2 linked regions of the Xenopus tropicalis genome follow. The protein of the gene in region 1 purifies or fractionates together with the protein of each later gene. This does not show direct contact. Links are inferred from orthologs where the notes say so. Each region holds a gene or a part of one and is shown on either strand. Other genes may lie near its edges. The genes, in order: atf2 and atf1.

Region 1 (4,338 bases):
TCAGGAAGGAGGGGAGTTATTTATATCATAGGATATTCTAGATTCTTTGCAGCATTTCATGTGTAACTCTGCCTTAGCTGTGGAGTTGAAGTAATGGTCAGCAGCCTATATAGGAACACGTTTTACAGAGTCCTCCATTCACATGTCCTTTGACTTCTAGTTCAAAGTGTTTGGGTTTCACATAGAGCTCTGCCATAAAATTTCTGCAGCCCTGACTAACTACTGTTACTGAACAACAGATAACATTTTGCCAACTAAGGTGGATCATGCTGTCAGTACAACATAAACTTTAAGATTTGATTGACAGAAAAGCATTCCAGGACAAGCTTCGCCTGAACGCAACAGAAAGCACCTATACCTACACCTACTTAGCCCTGAGCAGGGTTCAGCCCTTCTAGGTGGTATGTTTGTAAACACTGGAAGCTTGAAGCTCTGAGAGCCCCATGGCCCTGGTTGCCACTGTGGGACTGAGTGTGGAAGACAGGCAAAATACCAATGTCAGTGACCACTCTGCCTGTCTTTCCCCTGTAACATGGTGCTGAATTAGGGCAGACTGAATAAGTATGGGAAACTGGGTTCTTGCTGGTGCTTAATGACCAGCAAGGGAAGCCACCTAACCAATCCTGAGCCTTTCCTGGGCTGGTCTGGTTACCAAGGCAGCAGCATCTTCCTCCTGCACATAGAGCTGTGGACCAGAGCTGCTTGCCTCTCACAGCCTTAAATCAGTGCACCAGTTGTCTCACTGTGTTCCAAATGCATATTGCTCTTACCTTTAAATCATATACATATATACCATATATATTCCCTTGCTGTGTGAACTATGCAAGCATCCTGATATTTGTCATTTTTATCCCTGTCTTTATCAAAAAAATGTTGCCACTGTCTCTTTACTAAACATTAAGGAGTCACTCCATGTCCATTCAGACTTAAACAAGTGACCTTTTACAGTGTTTATGTCACCATAACACAAATCTGTGTGTGAAATTAATACTGTGACAGAATCTTCAATAAACAAAAAAACACTAAAATGATGGCAATTTCACTTGACCCTGGTTTGAACAAAACCCCTTTCCCTTTTAGTCAGACTGCGATATGAGGCTCTAAGGGTGTCAGGTACTGCTGCAACCAGGAAACGTAATTTTATGTTTGCTGGCACAAGTCTGAACTTTGATCCGGGAATAGAAATGACTTTTTATATTAGGAGCTGAAGTGGTGAAGGGAATATCAGTCAACCAACAAGAAAAAAAAAGTGTTTTTATTTAAGTATTTTTTTATTCGTTCGTTAACAAAGGAAGGCAGTGCGATCAGAAAAAAACCAGATTGAGAGTTGACCTAACACGACTTCCTAGCAGCCACCGACTGCGTACAACTCAGTTACGCCCACTCATCCCTCCCACAAGCGGCTGCGTAATGCGTCACTGCGCTTGCGTAGAGTCGTGACGCCAGTCTCGCGTGAGGAGACGCGGTGTTGGGCTTTTCTGTGGGACTGGGAAGCTGCTGGGAGCCTGCACTTGACAGCTTATCGGGAGGTGTAAGTAGCGTTGTGGGACTGCGGGCTGTGTTAGGAAAGGCTGGACTGTTGGGCAGAATGCACTTACATGGATTCCCGGGCCCCCCTGCTGTCAGTGAGCTGCAGACTTGGAAAGGGAGGGCGGGAGCTATGGTGCCTGGATGTTATTTACGCTGCTGCTGCTTGTTTTGTCACAGAGGTTCAAGTCCCTGTAAAGCCATTGTGGCTCTTCCGAAGTCTGCGGCTCACTGACAGCAAGGGTCCGATAATCCAAGTAAGAGCAGCACTGCCAACCCCCCTTAATTCCCAAACCCACTGGGTCTGGGACTGCCCCCCCCCCCCATGGGGGCCCTGTCTGTAAACCACAAAACAACACCACCTCAGGAGATCTTAAACACAACAAATCCCTCACCTATAGAAAGAATCCTACCAAGATTTCTGGGGGTGGTGTAAGTTGTAGTTCCACAATGTGTGGGGTGCATGACTGCCCAAGTATCCTAATATAAGCCCTTGGGTGCAATGTCATGGAGACTGGCCTTCACCTAATGGCATCCTTGCACTACAGTACATTCCTGAGAGGTTCCTATGGGCTCCTAGTGGGTGCAGCATTCTGCACCTTTGCTCTAATCCTGTTTGTTGTATCATTAGCCACTTCATTCCTTTTGTAAGAGCTTGCATGGATATCTTGACTCGATTTTCATGTGACCGATTGGATACAGTTTTACAATGAAACATGTTTTCCCTGTAATAATCAAATGTGATTGAGTTAAATGAAAATCGCATACAGTTTCAGCCGAATTTCGGGAGATTTGTGTTGGAAATTTCTGTATAGCTAGCCATAAACAGAAATAGTAAAACGAGATTTAACTTGTTTGGATTCCTGGCCATGCTGCCTGCCATTGACTTGAATGGTGCTAGTGGTAGGTGTATTTTGGTTCTGTGTTTTTGGGCTATGAAATAAAAACACAACAAGGGGTATCGTATCTTAAATCACCTTGTGCCCCTTTACTGTTGTTCTTGTTGGTTGGGAAATGCTTTAATGAGCAGGAGTAGTGTTTGGGGGGGGATTGAATCTGAAACAATCTTATATAAGATAAGAATGGGAACTGTCAAGCTTTCAGTCATATTTAGGGGAGCAAATGGTAATTCACCCCAATTCTCACCCTAACTGACCTTCAAACTGAGCCACCCTCACTACTGCCTCAAGCCCCCCCCAGAAAGGCCGGGTTCCATAGTATGTGAACCACTGCTATAAGGTATCACTGGGTCGGGGAAAGGAATATAAAGAAAAGAAAGAATAATAACTTGCGTCTTTCAAAGTGATTATAACATGGATTGCTGTGTTTGTATGCACGTATTGCTGTGACTATTAGGGCTGAACTACATAGAGAGATTTTGTTGGATATGGTGATTGCAAACAATCACATCTTATAAGTCTTATGTAGTTGTGCGGGTCTGTCAGTGGTGCAGCTGGTATAAAAGTGGAAATGCTGAGCTTTTATCTGACAAGTAGTCGGACAGACTTTTTCTCATTGAAATACACTGACATATGCAGATACATGAAAACAAGAACCCATCTGACTTTGAGAATCTGGTTTTGTAACATCCCACATAATTTAAACATTTTTAGAAAGGTCTTTTCAGTACATATTTGACAGCATACTGGTCTACTTTATATAGGGTTAGTTCACTGTTAAACTCTTTCATGTAGACAGGAATATACTGAGGCAATCTGAAATTGGTCTTCAGTTTTTTCCATCACTACTTTAATTTGGAATTTCAGCAGCTATCTGGTTGGTAGAATCCAATTTGCCCTAATAACCAGGCAGTGGTTTGAATGAGAGACTTGGATATGAAAAGGAGAGTGCTCAAAAAGATACTGTATATACTCGAGTATAAGCCGATCCGAATATAAGCCGAGGTACCTAATTTTACCTAAGAAAACTGGAAAAATTTATTGACTCGAGTATAAGCCGAGGGAAATGCAGCCGCTACTGCAAGTTGAAGTGATATCACCCCCCTCCCAGCAGCTAATTAGCAGAACAATGTGAAAGCATCAAGATAGCAGCTCCCAGTATATATCAGAATAGTACGCAATAGTAAGAAATCCAAGTGCGGCTTGGGATTCCCCCAGTTACATGGGAGTAGGAGAAACAATAGGTTACCTGAAAGCAGTCCTAATGTGTAGCGCTGGCTCCTTGTGAAAGCTCAGACTCAGGCACACTTTACTGCTGCGCTGCAAGTTGGAGTGATATCCCCCCTCACTCCCAGCAGCCAGCAGAACAGTGGGAAGGGAGCAAGATAGCAGCTCCCAGTAGGTATCAGAATAGCACTCAATAGTAAGAAATCCAAGTCCGGCTTGGGACTCCTCCAGTTACATGGGAGTAGGAGAAACAATAGGTTAGCTGAAAGCAGTTCTAATGTGTAGCGCTGGCTGAAAGCTCAGACTCGGGTACAATGCACTGAGATGGCGCCTACACACCAATATTACAACCAAAAAATACATTTGTTGGTTCAAGAATACAATTTTATTTGCTATGTAAACAGTGTAATTTAGATCTAAAACTATACCATAAAAATCAGTATTCCTTTAAAATTTACTTTGGGTTGTGTTAGAAAGTGCTTGGCAGCATCTATTACACAAACTCCAGCCTGGGTCTCCCACTTCAAAGGCCGTTGTGCCACACACCTACTGCTTTTTGTGCCACTCCAACCTGTTCATTAGATATATGCCTCATCCATTATTCGCACTGCTCACTGTGACACAGGGACAATTCCTGTTTTAAAATTTGAACGCATTTCCAGGCTCATGCTGTGTGTATAGAGAA
Region 2 (4,583 bases), on another chromosome or scaffold:
CTAAGTATTAAGTCTTTTTTTGTTAGAGGGTTCAAAAACTTATTTCACTCAATGAAATGCAAATCAGTTGCTATCTTTTATTTAAAGTTATTTTTTCGATTTTCCTTTTGATGTGCTATCTGCCACTGTTAAAATAAACCTACCATTGAAATGATACTGTTCTGAGACTTTTCATTTCTTTGTCATTGGACAAACTTACAAAATCAGTGAGGGGTCAAATAATTATTTCCTCCACTGTATATAAGTTATACCATCCAAATGTACACTCTGTGGCCAAGCGGTATCCAGACACAGTGGCAGCTGCATCTAGTGAAACTTCGTACCCCTAAGTGGTTCTCATATTCAGAAAGAAATTAATATGCTCTTACATTTCTTGGAACACCTGCAACAAACAAACCAACCTAGCGACCCCATCTATACTTTCAAGCAATTAAAATATCCTAGCAACAGATCAATTAAGTCTTCATAGCAGAAAAATTCAAACTATGATTTTTTTAAACTGCAACTCCCAAATTCACTGACAGCTAAAAGTCAAAAGGTATGCCGAGAGCTGGAAATGAAAATCATGACTACATTATTTGAAGGTGTGGCATAATAATTTTTACTTCAGGGACCCTGTTTGTTTGTCAGGGTAAAGGAAGAAAAAACACATTTTAATATGTTGGGAGAAATGTAAAGCAATGGCAATGCAAGTCTGTACCCATAGGAGAAACTGAAAGCAAGGAAAAATAGTCTTTAGCCATGCTGTGGGCAGTGCGTCAAAGTAGACTCTTTGGCTAGCACAGTCCTAAGTTATGCAGATTTGCTGTGTATTATACTGACAGATACAGACCCACAAAGTAAAAGTGAACAAATAACAGTGGTGCTGCAGAGTGATGTAAGCCCCAACAATTACAGATATACATATCACAGTGCATATAGGTATTATTTGCTATTAAACACCATTACACAGATACAACTGTATGCTTGCTGTTATTAAGCAGTTTGTTTACAACTGACAATATTATTATATTGATGTAATGCTAGCTTCTGTTTGGACTACTGTTGTCCTCTCAGGAAGAATCATGGCTAAATACCCTAAAGCCGCTTATCATTCATTTTAATGGTATATGCTCTGTCAATGTTGAATGCTTGTACTTAGTAATGTGTACTACAGGGTGTCTGAGTCATCCCTGCCTAATCTACGACAGGCACCATGTTTCCAACTGCTTGCATTGAAAAAAAAAATCAAATGTTTGTGATTGCAGAGGGACAGAAAACATACGCCCACTGGCTTTCAATGTAGTTGCAGTAGGAATTTAATGCGGCAGTTGGAAGATTGTGCGCCCCAACTAAAAACTTCAAGATACTACTCAAGAAAAGGGAAAGCCAGTCAGCTGCTTCTAAACGTTGGTAACAGTAAGCCATCTTGAAACTTGTCATATAAGTATTTCATATTTCACCTTGTTTAATGTTTTCTCGCCAGAGGTGATATCTTGAGAAATTGGCAAGTAAGTGAGTCTTCAAGGGTGGGCTTTAGTGCAACTGAAATATCAGAGGCTGGATAACCTGAACAAGATAATAAAGGAAATTCATTTGTTTAATTTCCAGTTGTTTCTACAAGAAAATATTCTGCTGACACATACATCTGAACAATAAAAAGCATATGGCAGGGCTGCTATACCTTAATTTCCAAATGGATCTTCAGAATGGAAATATTAAATGCTGAATGAATAATTTAATTCACTTGTACCCCAGGCTACTAGAAGGTTACTACTGGAGCCCCTGGCTATTTTAGCTTTGCCTAAGAAGCCATTCTTTCTCTGGCAGACTGACCATGAGCAGCTTCCTTACCATCCCTCTTAACCCATTGTTATATAATTCGTCATAAGGTGGCATAGTCTGACATGAACATGAAAGTAACATGCTAAACAGCATTGTAAATGGCTTAATGCACAGCAGAGACATTTGTGTCACAATAGATATTAATATAAACTCTGTGTTAATTTGGTAATACACTGCCAGATCCACTGGTTTGGTCAAGTTACCACATGAGTGAATCTGTGTCTGATTTGCCACCTAAGCGCAGGGCCTCATCTCAACATTAGCCCTGGGGCAAACAATCAGACCCAAAACTGGGGCCTACAGACATGAACTGCATCAGCACCGATTCACTCCTTGTCTAACAGGGTTGTTAAATCTGTCTAATACATATCTGGCTGATTTTTGGTAAGATATCTGTCAGACAAGCCCATCAGAAAGCCCCATACATGGGCCAAAAAGATGCTGACACTGTGGAGGGAGCAAGCTTTTATCGCCCTGTGTCTGACCTCCTTAAGTATTCTCAAAATCATAATTTATTGAGAATTTTGCTAAAAACATATGTAAGAACGTGGCTGAGGAACACACTGGACAGGTGCCAGTTGTAAAATACTTCTCAATGGATAAACTACCACTTCAAGATGGATATCTTAAAGTGGTAGTTTATCCATTGAGAAGTTTTTTTACAACTGGCACCTGTCCAGTGTGTTCCCCAGCCACGTCCTTATTATGAATATTTGGGACTGGCAAAAGTTGACCATTCATTTTACTGTTCCATAGCTTAACCTAGAAACAAAAACAAAATTTGTAAAATGTTTGTACAGAGATCTGTATAAGTTTTAAAGTATAATGTATTATATATCTGACAGCTATGTGAAGCAAAACTTGTGTGCCGTACATGCATTTATATGTAAGCAGAAAATACCAAGAGAACAAGCAGAAGAATTAGCGCTAAGGCATACCATACCTGTTGAGGAACGTGACAGATGTGAGCTGCTTGGAACACTGAAGAGACTGCGGATATCGGCGAGCTTCCTGTACTGCTGTTGCTGCTCTTGGAAGCCTCTTCCATAATAAACTGTTCAGAAATATAAAAATGTGTGTAATATTCTGAAGGTTACTGGTAATAAAGCACCAAGACAACCATTATATTCAACACATGCTTTTCAAAAGGAGTGGGTATTTTAACCAATAAAAAAAAAAAAAAAAAGGCAAAGCAGCATGTTATACAGGTTGTAAGGGAAAATAACAGCAAATATAGCTCTTTAATAAAACTAAAATTAGAATATGTATATTGCATGTGTACACAAAAAACACAAAAGCCACAACAGATAAAAGTTAAAATGCAAAATCATTAAAAATTCATCAGTTTTCATTTTTTACAATTTCTTTGAAACCCTATTGGTAGAAAGGTGGAAAAACAGTCCCTATATAGATAGATTTCTTTTTAATGACTAGCAAACAGCTGTAAAATATCATACACATTAGTATAGAAGATGATTTAAAAGTCCGTGGAATTATTCTGAGCAGCCAGCTGTAGTATAAATGTGGCAATACACTGAAAGATCCACTCATTTGGCGAGGTCAGTAAAAGAGCTTTCCCTACCTTGACATGGGCAATATTGGATTGATCCCATTGTTTGGCCCTCAGGCCAAAAGAAATGCATCACATTGCCAGGATAGAGGCCCTCATTCCGAGGGGATTTATAAACATGCCCAATCGTCTCGCTCATTGGTTGGATAGGCCTGGCCCGAGTACCCTATACAGAGGCCGAAAAACTGCCACTCATACCTTCAGCAGCTTTTATCAGCCCATGTATGGCCTCTATAAGAAGACATAGTATAACTAAAACCCCTCCTTGTCTTGTAAGCAACAAAGAATAATATATGCTGCTGGTTTTACTTTAAAATGAATATTATCTTTAAATAAAGACCACTTTATTAGAGCTCCCAATAGGTCCTCCTGGTCGCTGTCTGTGTTTCAGGAGTGGCAGTGTCTGCCAACTATACCTTCCAGAAGCACGGTAGGAGGCAGATACGCACAGTCCTGCAGCCACACTAGCAAAGACAAGAAGCTTCTTGGCTTGTGTATAAACTGCCCCTCCGTTCCTATTGGCGTAAAAATCTGTGACTGTAAACAGATAGGAGCAGAGGGGCAGTTTCCCGGTCTGCACTTATACGCAGGCCAAGACACTGCTCTGTGTAGCAGTAGCCTAAGACTAACTGCAACCAAATTTTGAAACTTTACTGAAAATACCTGGGACAGTACTTGGGCACTTTTCGCCATCTTTCCCTTTATTCCAAATGTTTTCTTGCATGGAACACATGTGCAGTTTTGTTATTTACTATACTTATGCTGGCCCAAAGCTCATCAAGGAAACCCTGAGAATGTAGACAAAGACGGCAAGGCAGCACACAACACAAATTTGCAGCCCCCCATGAATCTACCTTTTCTTGTCCTTTAATTCAGAATATAATCTACCGCTGTATTATCATAACGTTTAAATGTCTAGCTCTGATAGGTAATTAAAAGAGGGCAAAAAAGGTTTGTGCAGTTTTCACCTAGAGGGCTCTTTACAGTTTCTGTATTGGGCTTTAAAGGAATACTGTCACGGGAAAACAGGTTTTTTTCAAAACCCATCAGTTAATAGAGCTTCTCCAGCAGAATCCTGTATTTAAACCTGTTTTTTTAAAAAAACACAGAAAGATAGCAGCTCCCAGGAGGTATCAGACTAGCACTCAATAGTAAGAAATCCAAGTCCGGCTTGGGACAATGCACTGAG

The links.
Region 2: the proteins of atf2 (region 1) and atf1 purify together in Homo sapiens (affinity purification with mass spectrometry; 3 studies listed by BioGRID and IntAct, with this or other methods). This does not show direct contact. The link is inferred for Xenopus tropicalis from reciprocal best matches to the Homo sapiens genes ATF2 and ATF1.

The regions. Positions count from the first base shown.
Region 1 is NC_030685.2:64,415,234-64,419,571, reverse strand, and holds the start of atf2 (cyclic AMP-dependent transcription factor ATF-2), read left to right. Parts: upstream 1-1,374; 5' UTR 1,375-1,531; intron 1,532-4,338. UniProt on the Homo sapiens protein: Transcriptional activator which regulates the transcription of various genes, including those involved in anti-apoptosis, cell growth, and DNA damage response.
Region 2 is NC_030678.2:143,259,979-143,264,561, forward strand, and holds the start of atf1 (cyclic AMP-dependent transcription factor ATF-1), read right to left. Parts: upstream 2,882-4,583; 5' UTR 2,768-2,881; intron 1,549-2,767; 5' UTR 1,443-1,548; intron 1-1,442.